Cricetulus griseus: one gene and its partner. The protein of the gene in region 1 interacts with the protein of each later gene in a pairwise test. Links are inferred from orthologs where the notes say so. Each region holds a gene or a part of one and is shown in the gene's direction. Other genes may lie near its edges.

Region 1 (8,546 bases):
CTGTTTTCCTCTAAGCCACGCAGGTCAGTCCTGACCTGTCCAGGGGCACTGAGCAAGGAGTACAGCCAGCTGGAGATTAAATCCTGCCAGGTATGGTAGTACACACCTTCAAAGCCAGCACTAGGGAGGCAGAGGCAAGGAGGATCTCTCTGAGTTTGAGGCTAGCCTGGTCTATGTAGAGAGTTTCAAGCTAATCAGGGCCATATATTAAGAGGCTATCTCATCAGGCAGTGGTGTCAAACGCCAAGTCAAAGGCTGGAGGATCTGTGTGAGTTCAAGGCTAGTCTGGACTACAGGGCTAGTTCCAGGACAGCTAGAGCTGCTACACAGAGAACCTTGTCTCAGGAAAAAAAAAAAAAAAAAAGAAAAAGAAAAAGAAAAAAAGAAAGACACCGTCTCAAGAAACAGCAAAAAAAGTTAAAATTCTAAACCTTCCTTTTTACTCATTTCCCAATGATACTGGAACAAATTAACACAAGGTTGGTGGTTTAAAAGAATAAAAACTTGCCGGGCGTTGGTGGTGCATGCCTTTAATCCCAGCACTTGGGAGGCAGAGGCAGGCGGATCGCTTTGAGTTCGAGGCCAGCCTGGTCTCCAGAGCGAGTGCCAGGACAGCCTCCAAACCAATGCAGAGAAACCCTGTCTTGAAAAACCAAAATAAATGAATGAATAAATAAATAAATAAATAAATAAATAAATACTGGGCTGCTCAAGCCATCTGGTCATGGTTCCTGGCAATTCACAAACCTATAAACACCCAGGAGGCCACCTATACACATCCCCACACAGGGGCAGACATATACACATAATTTAAAAATCACACAAATTCATTACCATGTTGTGTGGTTAGAAGCCCTGTGATGTTAAAGTCAAGGAATTAGCACAGATGTTCTGGAAGCTTCAGGAGAGTCTGTTTGCTCTTGTCCTCTCCAGCTATTGGGGCGTTCAGAGTTCCTTGGCTTGTGGCCTTCCTTTCACCTCTAAGAATAGCACCATAGTATCTTTCTGGCTTGCCCTTTCCTTCCTTTCATTTTAAAAAAAGAATTATTTATTGATATGTGTAGAGGTGGGAATGGGTTCTTTCCTTCCACCCAGGTCATCAGGCTTAGGGATAATGCACTTTAGTTCATGAGTGCTTAGGTAGCATATGTAAGGCCCTGGGTTCTGTCCTCAGCACTGCATAGACAGGACAGATCTGTGGGATCTGTGATCCCATCACTTAGAAGGTGGAAGCAGGAGGATCAGAAGCTGAACTATTTCATTGTTACCTGCCCCTCCCCCCCCACATTTTTCTTGTATTTGACACAGGGTCTCACTATGCAGCCCAGGCTGGCGTGTAATTCACTGTAGACCAGGCTGCTCTTAAACTCTGCCTCTGCTTCCCCCGCTCTCTAGCACTGAGATGGCAGGCATGTGCTGCTAGGCCTAGCTTGTGGACCTTCTTTCATTCTTTTGTCTTTTCTATTTTTAAGGGCCCTTGCAATTAAACTTGTCCCATTGAGGACAATCTTTATTTCTTTAATAATTGACAGCAGAGCTGAGCAGTGGTGGCTCACTCCTTTGGCCCCAGCACTCAGGAGACAGAGGCAGGTGGATCTCTGTGAGTTTGACACAGGCTTGCTCTACATAGTGAGCTCCATGCTAGCCAGAGACACATAGTGAGACTCTGACTCAAAAAATAAATTACACTGATTTTTGTGGACGTGGTGGGCATGCATGTCTGCTGAAGCTGGACATGGAGGTCAGAAAACAACATTTAAAAGTTAGTTCTCTCCTTCTGCTATGAATGCCCCAGAAATCAAACTCAGGTTGTAAGGCATGACAGCAAGCACCCTTAGCTACCGAGTCCTAACTCATAATGATCCTCTTTTATTTTTGGACTTGAATTAACTTTATGGCTGGGGAGAATAACCTTGAATTCCTGATGTTCCTGCTTCCACCTTCTGAGTGCTGGGATCACAGACTTGTACCATCCATCCTGTCTATGCAGTGCTGAGGAAGGAACCCAGGGCCTCATACATGCTACTTAAAACACTCTATGAACTAAATAAAGTATATGCCTAGCCCAGGATAATCTCTGTTCTAATGTCAATTGAGCAGGGCGTGGTGATTTACATATATAGTCCCCACTCTTTGGGAGATTGAGGATGGAGGACTGCTTGAGCCCAGGAGTTCTGCTTATCATAGTTCCCCGGGTAATTGAAATTCTCCCTTCCCACATAACAAGCGGTCATAGGTTCCAGAGGTTACAATGTGGAGATCTTGATCTAGGTGTGTGTGTGTACGTGTACACACATACATATGCATACATGCAAGTGTGGCTGGGGATTAGACAGAGGGATTAACATACGGGGAAACTCAGGGAGCTCCTCAGAACTGTATTTCCTAGCCCAGAACATGGACATCTTTAGGGAAGCGTGACTCATAGTCCTTCCCATTCTCCCCTCCCCCCTGGCTTAGCTGACACATTCCCCCACCCCAGCATCCTTCCCTCACATACACACCCCCTTTCTCCGTTTGCTATCTGGAAGCCAAGCATTCTGGCTCCTTTCTTCCCAGAACTGTCCACCTTTTCTTTTACCTCACTCCTTTTTTTAGCACTTATCCACCTGAAAGGGTATCATCTTGTGCCTGGGACCTTGACTTTCTTGAGTCCCGACCCCTCCCTAACCACAAGTAGACATTCAACAAATTACTCCACTTACTTACAAAAACGGAGCAATGACAAGTTCCCCTCGGTCTACCTCAGCAACTTTAGGACCTGCCCTTTAATAACTGTTTCTGATCCCGTGTCCCTGTATGAATGAACGAATCTCTGTACTAGCTCAAGCCCACCTGATAATCACCTAGCAGGACAGCAAACACAGGCATGCCCAGTCTCTCTAGGTCTTTCTCGGTCTGTCTCGGTGTTTCTGTTTTTCTCTGCGCCGCCCTCTCCCCGAACTTTCTCTCTCCCTCTTTCCATCACTCTGTCTCTCCTAGTTTAGAGCAAACTCTTAAAAGTGTTCCTAAGTTTGTAAGACACTTGCAAAGCCCAATTCATTCCCGTAGAGTCACAGAATACACTAGTGCGGACGCCTCCCGGGTCTCAAGAGTCCTTCCGACAAGGAAACCCATCCAAGGACGCTCAAGAGATTTCTCAAGAATTCGCTCTTCCGGCCTTTGCTGGCCCAGCGCTTCTTCTAGCCTAAAGTTTTAACTCCAACATGCACAGCTGGAGTCCTCAAATCCACCACTGCTACTCTTGGCGAGTGCCCTGAGCTGCTGAAGGCTGAGGCTCTGGAATCTTGCAGCGGAGTCTGCAGAACTGAGAACCTGGGCGGTGCCGCGGTGGGAGGAGATGTGTGGGAGGGGACTGGAGAGGAGCGGCCCGGGATTGGCCTCGGGCGCTGGGGGTGGGGCTTAAGGCCCGAGGTCCGCGCTGTAAGTTCCCAGGTCCTCCCTGGCGCTCTACCCCAGCCGCGCAGCTCTGCAGCCTTGCCCGCGCTCCTCAAGGTGAGTTTGGGCTGAGGTTTTTCAGGCCTCTGGTGGCTTCTTGTAGAGTCCCATCCAGGGTGGCGCTCGGTCCCGGCCCAGACCAGAGACCCCTTAGCAGGCGCCGGGGTCCCCGCCCCGGTACCCATGACCTCCCACAGCGCCCAGGGCGCTGTGCTGTCAGTTTCGTAGCTCCGGGCTGCATACAGTGTTCTCTGCTGAAACTCCGGGACCAGGGAGCATCTTCTCCTTGGCCCGCGTCCCCGCCTGGGCTGGAGGCCGTATTTTTAGCGAATGGTGAGGTGTCCTCCTATCTTTAGCTGCAGTGTTACTGAAACGGATCCGGGCCGCGCTGGGCAGCTCTTGGCTGGGGAACTGGAGGGGTCCGCGCGGGAACACGAGTCAGGGCTGAGCAGCCGGACTCGGCGGGAGGGCGGGGGCCTGTACGTCCGAAACCTGGCGGTGCGCCAAACAGACACTGAGACCTCGCCCAGGCCGGGAAGCTCAGACAAGGCTCCTCCCAGAGCTTGGGGACCCGGACAAGGTCCCCGATCCTCGCAATTCAGCCCTCACCGTGGTCTGATTGTGCAACCCAGAGAAAAAGGCCCTGTGGGTGATACACCTCGGGAACTTGAGCGCGCAGCTCCTCGGTGGGCGTCTGCCTGGAGCCGGTGTGCTCGGTGGGACCCTAAAACGCTGGGTGATAGCGGGGGCGCTCGCGCCACCTAGCGACCACGGATCCTAGCGCTTCTCTGCACTGGGACCCAGGGAGGTGGTCTGCTGCAGGAGAACCAGATTCTGAGATGGCCCTGGAGGAGACCAAGAGGAGGTGGCCAAGAGGAGACCCATACCTGGGGACTAAGAAGGGTTCAATTTTCGTTTTTCTTGCAACCAAGGAGAGCTGAAGGGTTTGAGAAAGCCCCTGCAGATATTTGCTAAATATCCTTTGATAGTGGCTGTCCACATACACATCTATTTATACAGAGCCTCTTGTTTCCAGTATCGCAATGGGTCAGCCCATTTTAAAGATGGGGACGGTGAGCCCAGTTCCAGAGAGGAAAGGTGCATTAGAGTCCCAGGTGGAACTAGATTCCAAACCATTCCTTTTGGACTGGCAAGATGTCTCAACAGAAGTCGCTTGCTGAGCAAGCTTGGAGATGAGTTCTATCCCCAAAACCTGTAACGATGCAAGGAAATAACCGGCTCCCCAAAGTTGCCCTCTGACCTCCACACGCATGCCATAGTACATACTAGCTTGTGCATGAGCGTGTGTGCTCGTGCACACGCGCGTGTACACACACACACACACACACACACACACACACACACACACACACACCATGCATACTCACACAATAACAATAAATAAAACTTTTTAAATTTTTGTTTGCTTGTTTTTTAGAGGCAGTTTTTTTAGTTCTTAGAGGAAGGCAGATTTCTAAGTTCTACTGTCCTGTTCTACAGAGTGACTATCAGCCAGGACTGTCAGGACAACTGGTTACATGGAGAAATCCTGTCGAAAAAACAAACAAAAACCCCTTTTTAGTAAGCATTTAAGAGAAAGGGCAAAAATCACACCTAGAGCTGGGCATGGTAGCATACCTTTCTTTTCTTTTCTTTTTTCTTTTTTTTTTTTTTTTTTTTTTTTGAGACTTGGATGTTCAACAGGGACTCACTATGTAGCCCTGGCTGTCCTGGAACTCACTATGCAAACCAAGCTGGTCTGCATGGATCTACCTGTCCCTGCCTCTGCCTCCCAAGTGCTAAGATTAAAGACATTATCCTGCCAGGCCAGGTGGCACACTTTTATTTTTGGTTTTTTGAGATAGGGTTTCTCTGTGTAGCAGCCTTGGCTGTCCTGGAACTCACTTTGTACACCAGGCTGGCCTTGAACTCACAGAGATTTGCCTGCCTCTGCCTTGCTAGCACTGGGATTAAAGGTGTGCGCCACCACTGCCCAGCTTCAGGTGGTACACTTTTAATTCCAGTACTTGGGAGATGGAAGTAGGCAGATGTCTGTGAGTTTAAGGCCAACCTGGTCTACATAGTGAGATCCTGTGACAAAAGATAAAAAGCCATTAGTTTTGAAGTATGTATGGAAGGAGGGGAATTTCCATGAACATCCAGAGTGAGCAGGGCTAAATATTCTCCATGACCAGAAGGGATCTGCCTCCAGGAAGTCATTTTCTCTGAGGGAGGCTCAGTATTGCTGTCCAGGGCAACCCACAGAGCTGGGATGGCCTCCATCTGCTCCTCCCCATTGCTGGAGGAAGCTCCTCCTGGCAGCCTTGATCTAATCAGAGCTCATTCTTGTAGCTCTGAACACTTGCAAGTTGGGGAAGTGGCAGCCAAGGGATGTGACTACATAGAGGAAGCCTGGAGACTTGCTAATGCCTCTTCTGTTTCCCATCCATAGCACCATGGTATGGTCCACTGCCTGGAAGCCACGTGGCTAGCCTTGGTACCAGGTGCCTTTTCTTACTAGCTGGATGACCCTGATGAAGCTCCTTAATATCTCTGAGGTTACACTCTGGTGGCTATTTAGGACAGTAATGGCACCCACCCCAACGTGGCTTAGAGAGTTAATGTGTAAGGAACCCCCATGGCAGGCTGGAGCCTCTGATCTGTGGTTTCTAGATCTTCTATTTAGGATTGCTGGTTGTTATTCCCAGCTTTCTCCTGGGTGGTTGATACTGGCCCCACCCTTCCTTTTAGCCTCTGTTCTCCTCACATCTGGATTTGGGTGGGTACATCTGGCTCAGAGTGAGACAGCTGTCAGGGACGCCCAATTTGCTGTGGAAACACCCAAGCTGTCTTGGAGCTCTAGTGTGATGGAGTGAGGATGGGGGAAGGACCTGGCCCGGGCTATAGGCAGATCTCACCAATCATCCCAGCTCTCTCTCACAGCATAAATCAGTGATGGGATTGTAAGATTTAGGGTGCATTTTTTTTTCCCACAGCTCCGCTAGAATTAGCTGGAATCATTCCTTTGTTTCCTGTTGGCTACAGGTGCTCTGGAGGCTAGGGATGTCCAGCCTCCATGGTTCACCATGACTGGCCTAGGGTGTCCGGCCTTGGGGTGGGGTTTCCTGAACAAGGGCCTGTGTGGGATGGTGTCACTTAGGACTGTGCCCTGCCTGCATCCTTCTGCCTCCTTCCTGCCCTTCCTGATTACCCTTAGCCTACCCAGGATGGAGACTGAGGCAGAGGAAATGGGGGATGTCTCATTTACTCAGGTATGGGCTAGTCTAGAGGAGGCTTCATGTAGGAAAATGGGCTCATCTGGCTTCAACGCTGGCCCTGCCCCTGGCTGTGATCTGAGCTTGGATAAGTTTCCTTGCCTTTTGTACTGGGTTCTGAACATGGAGTCAGCTGAGATTGTAGGGGGCCAGCCAGGCCCTCCACACACCAACCCCCACCAAGGGACTGGAGGGTATATGGGCTCCACTTCTGCTTCCTTCTTCGTTGAACCAGCATGACCCCCATTCACAGGGTATTTTTTCCACCTTAAAAACAGTTTTGCTTTTTTTCCCCTGACTACATAAACAATACATGCTTATTAAGAAACTGATAGCTGGAGTGTAGTTTTTTGGATTTTTATTTATTTGTTTTGTGTTTTTAGACAGCACCTCAAAAAAGAAAACTACATTTATATAAAACTGAACAAGTGCTCACTGTAACAGCACATACATTAAATCAGAACAATACAGAGATGGTTAGTGTAGGTCCTGTGCAAGGATGACACTCAAATTTGTGAATCATCCATTATATTATTATTATTATTATTATTATTATTAGTTCTTTGAGACAGGGTTTCTCTGTGTAGACCTGGCCATCCTGGAATTGTCTCTGTAGAACAACTCAGAGATTCACCTGCCTCTGCCTCCCTAGTGCTGAGATTAAGTCGTATGCCACCACTGCCCGGCCTGCCCTGCTTTTTTTTTTTTTTAATTTCTTATTTTATGTGTATAAGTGTTTTGCCTATATATGTTTGCATGTTCCTTTATGCATGATACCTGCGGAAGCCGGAAGAGAGCATCAGATCCATGGTTACTTGTGGTTGTGAGCTGCCATGTGGGTGCTGGAAGAACAGTAAATGTTCTTAACCACTACGCCATCTCTTCAGTGTCTTCCACCGTATCCTTTTATTTTTTTAAGAATCTGGGCATAGTGGCATTCACCCTCAATTCCAGCACCCAGAAGACAGATATAGACAAATCTCTGAGTCCCAGGCCAGTCAAGGTGAGACTCAGTCCCCCCTCAAAAATGTCTAAACAAGAGAGAAGTCAGCCTGAAATTATAACATCACCAGCATTTAGGCCAACACCCTGTCACACACACGTATATTATAGATCACCTGCTGGGAACACCTTTCCTTCCAAACCAGTGACCACACACTTCCTGTTTCTTTCTCATTCCTCATGTTAAGATAGGATCCTATACAGGCTGGCATATATGGAGTATGGATGGCAGGAGCATTGGTTAGTCAATGCTTTTAATAAATGGTACCCTCTCAGGCCTAGAGAGATGGCTCAGTGATTAAAACACTTGTTGCTTTTGCAGAGGTTGGGTTCCCAGCACCCACGTGGTGGCTCACAACCCACTGTTAACTCCAGTTCTAGGGCATTTGATGCTCGCCTCTGACCTCTATGTAGACACCAGCCATGTATATGGTGCACTTACATATTTACAGTCAAAGTACTCATATACATAAATAAAGCTAAAAAATTAATGGCATCCTTCTGACTATGTTTCCACATTTTGCTTGCCTCTCTGTGTAGTGTCTTGTAGAAATCCAAACTGTTTTTGATACTTCCCGCTTGTTTCAATTTGTTTCTCATGCTAGAAGTGTACTCTGCCAGGAGCTATGTGGCACCCCTGAGAGTTTTAATGTCCAAATGGGGATCATAGGAGTTTTGTAGTAACATGTTTACAAAGCTCTCAGAAGAATGCCAATCCCCCAAAAGTATTGTATATCCTGCTCCATCTCTATGCTCGGCCTGGGAGGAGGGGCAGGGAACAGGGTGGAGGAGCTGGGAAAAAGGGCAGGGGGCAAGGAGCAGTGTCAGACA
Region 2 (8,015 bases), on another chromosome or scaffold:
GAAAGCCCCATTACTTTGGTTCCCTGGACTCCTCCTAACATGGGAACTGTTCTGTTGTTAGACAACCAATGGTGGAGATAGTACAGTCAGCATCAGCTCCTGTCTCTTGCCGTCTGCTATTACCCTTTTTGATCTGCAAAGGGAAAGTGTTAAGTGGGATTCAGGGGGGAACAACTCCCTTCCATCTTGCTAGGAAATGGTCACAGTCTAGTAGTTCTGCTTTGCCCCACTCTTCCATCAATCCAGACGGAGGAGTAATTCTAGGAAGCAGTGGAGCATGCACTGTTCTCATTCTGTGCTTGGCTTCAGAGCCCCTCTGCTCCAGTCATCTTCTATGGGAGGTTCTTACATAAGGTGATTTCTCACAGTAGATTTGTCACAGGCAGAGTGGCACAGAGATTCTGCCGAGGGGACCATGATGGAATCTAGACTTGGCCAGTGTTCCACTGGGTGTGAAAGAGTGCCATGTGGGAAAAAGTCTGACCTGATGGTTGTACTACTCCACCTCCTGTGGCACCTGAGCATGGACTCTAAGTTAGGATGACTTTATGGAGACATGAGGGTTGGGAAAGAGATAGGGAAGGGACAGGAGAGGAGTTGCGGGGGAGTTTGATCTTTCAGTAGATATATTTAGCAAATAAAATATCACACCTATTAGTTTGGGTTGAATAACAACCACAAAACCCTCACACACAATAGATGTTTACTTCTCACATGTCTGTCAGGTAAGCTTGTCTTGGCTCATTTGGTTCTTCTCTCTCTTGCCCTTCCTCCTCCTCCCTTCATTACCATCATTATATTTTTCTTAATAAATTTACCGAGGTAATTGAAGCTCTGCTACTTACTAGATGAGACCTTCCACGAGGTTATATCTAAGTGTTTCTATTTCTTCATTTGAAAATGGGATAAAGCCAATATATACCCCCAGATGTTTTAATAATTGAATCATATAATGAAGGTAAAGAAGTAAAAGCATGCACTTATTTCTTGCTGTCCTTTTGTACAATGTAGTTTCAACAGTACTGGGCAGTAGAATCTCCCCAGGGCTCACTGAAATGCAGATTACAGGCCCTGTTCTTAGTGTCAGGATTGGGATAGAACAGGGCGAGTTCTTCAAAATTCCTGCTTTACAGAAAGTTTGTCCCAAACATTGCAGAAGAACCTTGGGTTACTGTCCAGGCAACCAGCTGTTTCTGTCATTTCACACATTTTTTTGGAAGTCTCTTGCTCGCACTTCCTGTTTACTCAGTTGATATTATTTTCTTCTTGATTCTGTGAGGCAGTTGAAGACTAGATAGTATAGTTATAATTTTCCTTGTTTACCAGACTCAGAAAAGAAACTCACTAAGGAAATGTAAAGTATAAAAGTTTGAGAGACATTAAAAGATAATTTGATAATGCGAATTAGAATAGAAAGTTAAATTAGGTACCAGACTTTGGACTCACCAAGCTAGGATAGATAACGGAGTATTTTCTCTTAATTTGTCAAATGCAAATGTACTAGACATTGTTTATATACTTTTTACCTGTATATATTATATATAGTTATTGTACATAGTTTTCTTAGGTTAGTTGTAGCCTTCCTTTTTGTATTAGACAAAAAGGGGAATTGTGGTGATATATTGTTTATGATTTAATAAAGTTTGCCTGGGGATCAGAGTGCAAAGCTAGCCACACTAGTTAACCATAGATGCCAGGCAGTGGTGGTACTCACCTTTAATCCCAGGACGCAGGAGACAGAGGCAGAGGGATCTCTGTGAGTCCAAGACTACCCTGGGCTACACGAGAGTGAATCAGTCTAAAAGAGTAAAAACTCACACTTTTAATCCCAGCACTAGAGAGGTATATAAGGAAGAAGCAAAGGTTCTCATGTGAGATTCATTTTCTAGTCACAGGGAAGACAGGGTCTCCATTTCAGCCTTGGCAGAGATAACAGCTACTGGCTGGATGCTTTTCTTTTCTGATCTTCAACTTGAACCTCCAAAATCTGTCTCTAGATTTTTATTACTTGTGCCACACCTGCCCCCCAAAGTCTGTCTTTGAGGTCCTAACCTGAAGTTTAGGTTTAATAAGTAGGTAAGAGGTATGGCTAAGTATTCCTGGTCAAGGTGCCATCCTGCCTATAACTGTTTCAGCTCTAGTCTGTCCTGCAAGGTGATTGGGTGGGTTGTCAAACTGTGAAATCTCTTCTCAAATAACATCTTTGTCCTCAGGCCAGCCCTAGGCTGCAGAGACACCCCTTCCTTCTCCTAGTGTGAGATCCCTGCAGGGGTACAAGTGACTCTTCTTAAAATATACTCATTCCTGCCATTTTGTTTACACCAGTACAAAGTCCTTTGATAGGCTGGGCTGGGCATGTGGTTTATCCTGTTGGTAGCATCCCTACTCTGGCGCTAATCATTTCCTGCCAGAAGCAGGTACAAACTACAGGGAGAAATCCCTTCACAGGCTCCAGTAGACCTGCCTCTCTGAAAAGTGGAGTGGGTGAATATAAGTACAGATGTGTTCGTGGAGGGGCTGAAAAGCTAACCACAGCAGCAGAAAGGAAAATAGATGCATTTCTGACTAACAGGTGGTGATGGGATCTGGAGGTTAGAGTGGACCACTTAGCAAACAACTGTGATCTCACAGAGTGAAGGTTCTTCCCAGATTTCTTCTATATTTTACCACAGCTCCTTTTTCATGTCAAAGCTGTGAATGCAGGCAATCTGGGGAGGTCTTGGCAAGTGGCTGGGATATTCATGTCAAAAATGTCAGCTTTGTAAAGAAGTACAATGGAATGTTGTTGGTGAGGTGTAGGGTAGTTGTTGAGAATCTGAGTTTTGGGATAAACTGTGGTGAGCAGGTGTTTTTATTTTTTTTCCCCATTTTGTGTAACAGAGACTAGATCATGAATACACTTACCTATTAGCCTTAGAGGATTTAAAGAGAGTCAAGGGACTTAGCACAATTGAAGCCAGGGAAGTGTGTGGTTGCTTGATAAAGGGATTTTTATTGTTTACTGTGGGAAAGTTGAAGAAAGCACAGAAGTGCCCCTTGGTGGAAGTCTATTCTGGGTGGCTTTCTGTGATTTGACTTCGCTGGTTAGATTACAGGTTCAGAGCTCGCCAGCTTCCTTAACACATTCTGAGTCATGTGACAACCTGATGTTATTAATGTTCAGCAGCTGAGGTGCAGCTTCAGCCAGTAGTTCTGAAAAGGTGATGTTCTTAGGCAATGGTAAGCATTGGTGCCAAGGAGAACAGGTTTCAAATCCTGGCTGTTAATCATCGTGAAGTAAGGGGCAAGTTACTTAGCCTCCAAAGGTGCCTCCTCCTTATTTAAGAGTGTCCTATTAGCACTTAAGTCATAGGTGATGTGATACAGGGCATGGAGGACACAGCATCCCACACACAGAGCTGCTCAGTGTATGTTAGTGTCATTACTACCTGTTCCATGCTTCCCAGACAGCGTTAGAAACCCAGATCCTGCTCCTTCTGTTCTCTTCTCAGTCGGCCTTTGTGACCTCTGCCCTTTTTCCCTCTTCACAGCTCCTGGCCTTCCTGCAAGGACTCTTCACTTTCTATCACCATGGTTATGAGCTGGCCAAGGACTTTGGTGACTTTAAGACACAGTTGACCATCAGCATACAAAATGTGAGTGGGGGCAGAGACCAGAGAGGGAAACAGGAGAGGGTGTGTTTGCTCCAGAGTTCCCCTCAAGCATTGGAATGAGGTGTGTGGGGTGGGTTCCTGGCTGGGTTCAGAGGAGGACAGCGGGAATCTGACATTTCTAGAATGTAAGATGGCCCAGGTCTGAGCACCATTTCTGTTCCTGGAAGTGTTGCTGCTGGTATTGTGTGTTTTTCACAGCAGCGTCAGAATTTCCCTTGACAGTGGAAATCCCAACTTAGCCCAGACTAGTTGCCTTCTGTGCAAGCAGCTGCCTGGTCACCTGAGGCCTTACATGAGTGTCCAGGGGTGAAAACTCAAATGGTATACTCTTGCCAGGCAAGACTGACAGGACATGTGAGTCAGTGCCATCCAAATGCTGCTGCCTCTGTTGCTTAAATCTGGAACCTTTGGGTGTGCAGAGTTGTTTAGGGTATTTGGGGCATAAGTCATAAGGCAAGCTCTCCTCTTACTTTGGAATTGGCCACAAGTCCCAAGGTACTCCTAGATCAGGCATTTCTGCATGGCTTGTCCTTCATGGCCTCAGAAGTTTGGAACTTACTTGGTGGTTCTTTGTTGACTTGGAGAACAGGAAGTTGAGGAATATGTCAGAAATGGTTTTAGAAAACATATATATATATATATATATATATATATATATATATATATATATGCCTCAGGGGTTCTGAGTGGGCCTGAATAGAAGCCAGGGGTTTCTGACTGCTCTGGGTGAGAGAATGACCTAGAAAGCCAGCAGCACCCCCCTTTTAGGAGGGTGCCACCTGTGAGCCATGAGCAAGCTACATTTCTTCCAACTGGAGTGGTGAGGACCATAATCCTAAAGGAGTGCAAGCAGTTACTCTAGTCTGTAACTCTTATTTAAGCACCCTCTCCTGGCCCAACAATCTCCACTCACTCTTGAGGAGTGAGGCTGGGTGTTCACATGCTTCCTGGATGATCTTGGTGGTTTCTTGAGTTTGATTCATTCAGATATGGGACTGTAAGGCAAATATGTACTTTTACAAGTGAATACTTGCCCATTTCCTAGACCACTGAATGCCCCTTATTTGCTTTTATATCTAAGGTTTCTGTTTAGGCTGATCTTATGAATTATTAAGAGATTTCATTTTTTTTTTCTGCATTTGATTGATTGAGCAAAACTCCTTTCATTCCAGACAAGAAACCGCTTCGAAGGAACCAGGTCTGAAGTGGAATCGCTGATGAAGAAGATGAAGGAAAACCCCCTTGAGCACAAGACCATCAGCCCCTACACCATGGAAGGGTACCTCTATGTGCAGGAGAAACGTAAGTGCTCGGACTGTCAGGGTGGGGGGCACTCACAGCCTTGGGCAGATGTTGTTTCTGGAGGTCCCTGCAGATCTGTGTCCACAGTCTTTTCACCTCCAAGTGCTTTGTTCTGTTTCCTTTGTGCTAGGGTTTTTCTTCAATGCTACATTTCCCTATGGCTCTGTAGGAGGTAGTTCCTTTCTTCTTAATGTCCCCTCCTTTTGAACCTTGATGTCTTAGTGTGCTTGTGCACTCCACCCCAACCACATGGGCATTGGGAAGGTCCTGCATACCACACCTTATTGAATGCCCTAGTATTTGGTGATTCTACTTTCAGTTGAGAGCAATCATGGCTTGGGCCCTTTTCCTTTGCTTCTCAACTTCTGCCATCCCAATACTTGGATTTTTATGGAAAGTCAAAAAATAGGTGAGAGTTAGGAAGAAGGCCCATCATCTCCTTGCAATGCATTCAAGGGAAGAAACACCAGGGGCTGCTACTTGAATGCAGTTTTTAGGGAGGACTCACAGTTCATACCATAAAGGCCTTGGAGAAGGCTTAGAGGATATGCCTTAGGGTAGCACCTCCAGGTGCTAGGAATAAGATAGTGAAAGCTTTCTCCTTTAATAGTTGTTCCATTAGCTGGCAGCCTGTCCCATCCTCCTCAGCAGGATCTTGCTAAGTAGTCTAGACTGACCTTGAACTCATGATCATCCTGAATTTTCCTTCTGAGTTCTAGAGTCGCACACCTGTATGCTGCCTTGCACACCTTTTGCCTCTATGCTTTCTTAGCAGGATGACTCCTGATTTGTGCTGGTTTTGTGTTCCTCTCTGTGGTCCTCTTTGGCAGTGACTTCACTCCTGCAAGCTCCTGGTAGAGCAGGAGAGAAACACTTTGTTTTAGTGGTTATGTACTTAGTGCTAATGCTCACATATAATTGCCTAGGCTTAAAAGTGTTCTCTTCTGACAGTAGGGACTGAAGTGGGGTTGGAATTATTGGCTGCGGTAAGGGTTTTATACCCCTATTCTTTGAGGAATGAGCTTGAGGGGGTTTATAGGAAGCAGAAGCCTCTTCATTTGTGTATTTCATTCCCTGAGTATGGAGGGATGCTCTCCTTGCCATGTGTGCGGATTCCCTCAGCCCATCCCACTGCCCATGGTTGGAGGTAACGTAGAGAAACAAACTCTCAGGAAAGTAAGGATAGATGTCACAGTGCCCCTGTAATACAAAGGCTGTTGTTATTCTTCACCTGTGTGTGGACTCATTTTTGCTCTCTCATACTCACATTATATTACACAGTTCCAATCAATCAAACATTTCACATGCTCTTGACATGAATATGTTGCTTTTTGTTACAACTACTTTTTGCTTTTCTAGCACACCACTTATGAGCATTTCCTTAGGATACAGTATAGTGTTGGAACTTACTATTTTTAATAATTTCAAGCTTACAAGGAAGTTGCAAGAATGCTATAAAGAAAACATGAATTGACCGGGCGTTGGTGGCGCATGCCTTTAATCCCAGCACTCAGGAGGCAGAGGCAGGTGGATTTCTCTGAGTTCGAGGTCAGCCTGGTCTCCAGAGCCAGTGCCAGGATAGGCTCCAATGCTACACAGAGAAACCCTGTCTCGAAAAACCAAAGAGAGAGAAGAGAGAGAGAGAGAGAGAGAGAGAGAGAGAGAGAGAGAGAGAGAGAGAGAGAGAGAGCATGAATTTACCCAGATCCACAGTTTCTCAATGCTTTACTCTAGTCACTCTTTCTTTTTTCTGTGTATGGCTGTGGATATGTGCACTACTCTCATGAACATTCATTCTCCTGAGCTGTTCTGTTCTAATGCCCACCAGTCCCCTATTGTCTTCATTTCCACCATTCAATCAAGAAATTGTATTGTCTCTTCACTGTATGGTCACTGTTTTCCGTTAACTAACTAGTGTTCTGAGGAAGTCACCTTATAATTATGTAAATAGCTTTCTGCTTGCTATGTTTCTGTCCATAGAGTTGTGACCTATTGATCCTTGCCTAGACTGATGGAGATTTCCCACTTTCATTACTTCTTTCTACCCACCCTTGTCTATCCATCTGCCCACTTGTCAGACCATTTGTCTGTCCCTGTCTTTCCATTGTCAATAAAACCTTAAGGTTAACATTTCACTCACAGGCTATAATCTATTACTTTATATACCTTGATGTCCTCATCGTCTAAGACAAAGCACTTGTGGAGTCCTTGTGTTGTGTAGTCACTGGAATGTTCCCCAGGCCCTGAGAATGTTTGGTACTTTTCAAATTGCCTTTAATGACTAATGTATTGCTGTGTGACATGTGCCTGTGTGACAGAGAGAGAGAGAGAGACAGAGAAAGGGGTGAGAGAGAATGCACATGTATATATGTGTGTGTGGTGTATATATGTGTGCCTGTACATGTGGTGGCCCGAAATTAACCTCAGGTGTTATTCCTTAGGTGATATTCACCTTGTTTTTTTTTGGAACAGGTTTCTCATTGGCCTGAAGTTCACTGAGTAGGTTAGGCAGACTAGACAACAAGCCCCAAGGCTCTGCCTGTCTTCCCCTCTCCACCTGTGCACCAATAAACCTGTTTTTAAAAATTAAATCTTAATTAATTAATTAATTAATTTTTATGTGGGTTTCGAGGGCCTGACTCAGGTCCTCGAGCTTATAGAGCTTTATTAACCAAGCTGTCTCTGTAGCCCCTGTGTTGCTTTTCAGATTATTAAATGATATCTATACTTATATTTGGCAATCATTCCAAACCATTAATAATCACTACGCAACCATTCTTTACATGGTATTGGTAATTGTGGCCATTTCTATTATGTGATCTCTGTAAACATCTAAAACTAATATTGATTGAAGTCCTTGCAGACTGATAATGTCTTCTTCCTCTAATATTTGATTGAAGTCCTTGCAGACTGATAATGTCTTCTTCCTCTAATAGCACTTTGTTGTTGAAAATAAAGTAATTGGCCAGGCACTGGGTATACAGCCAGAGACTTTTGGCATTGGTTCTGTGATGTCGCCCTCTTTCCTGGGGAGAATTTTGAGACAGACTCCTTAGATTG

Evidence for each region. The genes of interacting proteins can lie anywhere in the genome.
Region 2: the proteins of Cdc42ep2 (region 1) and Arhgap26 interact in binary tests that used the Homo sapiens proteins (3 or more experiments, as listed by UniProt). The two-hybrid records come from large-scale screens. The link is inferred for Cricetulus griseus from reciprocal best matches to the Homo sapiens genes CDC42EP2 and ARHGAP26.

Annotation. Positions count from the first base shown.
Region 1 is NC_048596.1:53,417,467-53,426,012, forward strand, and holds the start of Cdc42ep2 (cdc42 effector protein 2), read left to right. Parts: upstream 1-3,376; 5' UTR 3,377-3,495; intron 3,496-7,141; exon of another isoform or gene 7,142-7,247; intron 7,248-8,546. UniProt on the Homo sapiens protein: Probably involved in the organization of the actin cytoskeleton. May act downstream of CDC42 to induce actin filament assembly leading to cell shape changes. Induces pseudopodia formation in fibroblasts in a CDC42-dependent manner.
Region 2 is NC_048595.1:198,519,525-198,527,539, reverse strand, and holds part of Arhgap26 (rho GTPase-activating protein 26), read left to right. Parts: intron 1-3,530; coding exon 3,531-3,635; intron 3,636-4,825; coding exon 4,826-4,955; intron 4,956-8,015. UniProt on the Homo sapiens protein: GTPase-activating protein for RHOA and CDC42. Facilitates mitochondrial quality control by promoting Parkin-mediated recruitment of autophagosomes to damaged mitochondria.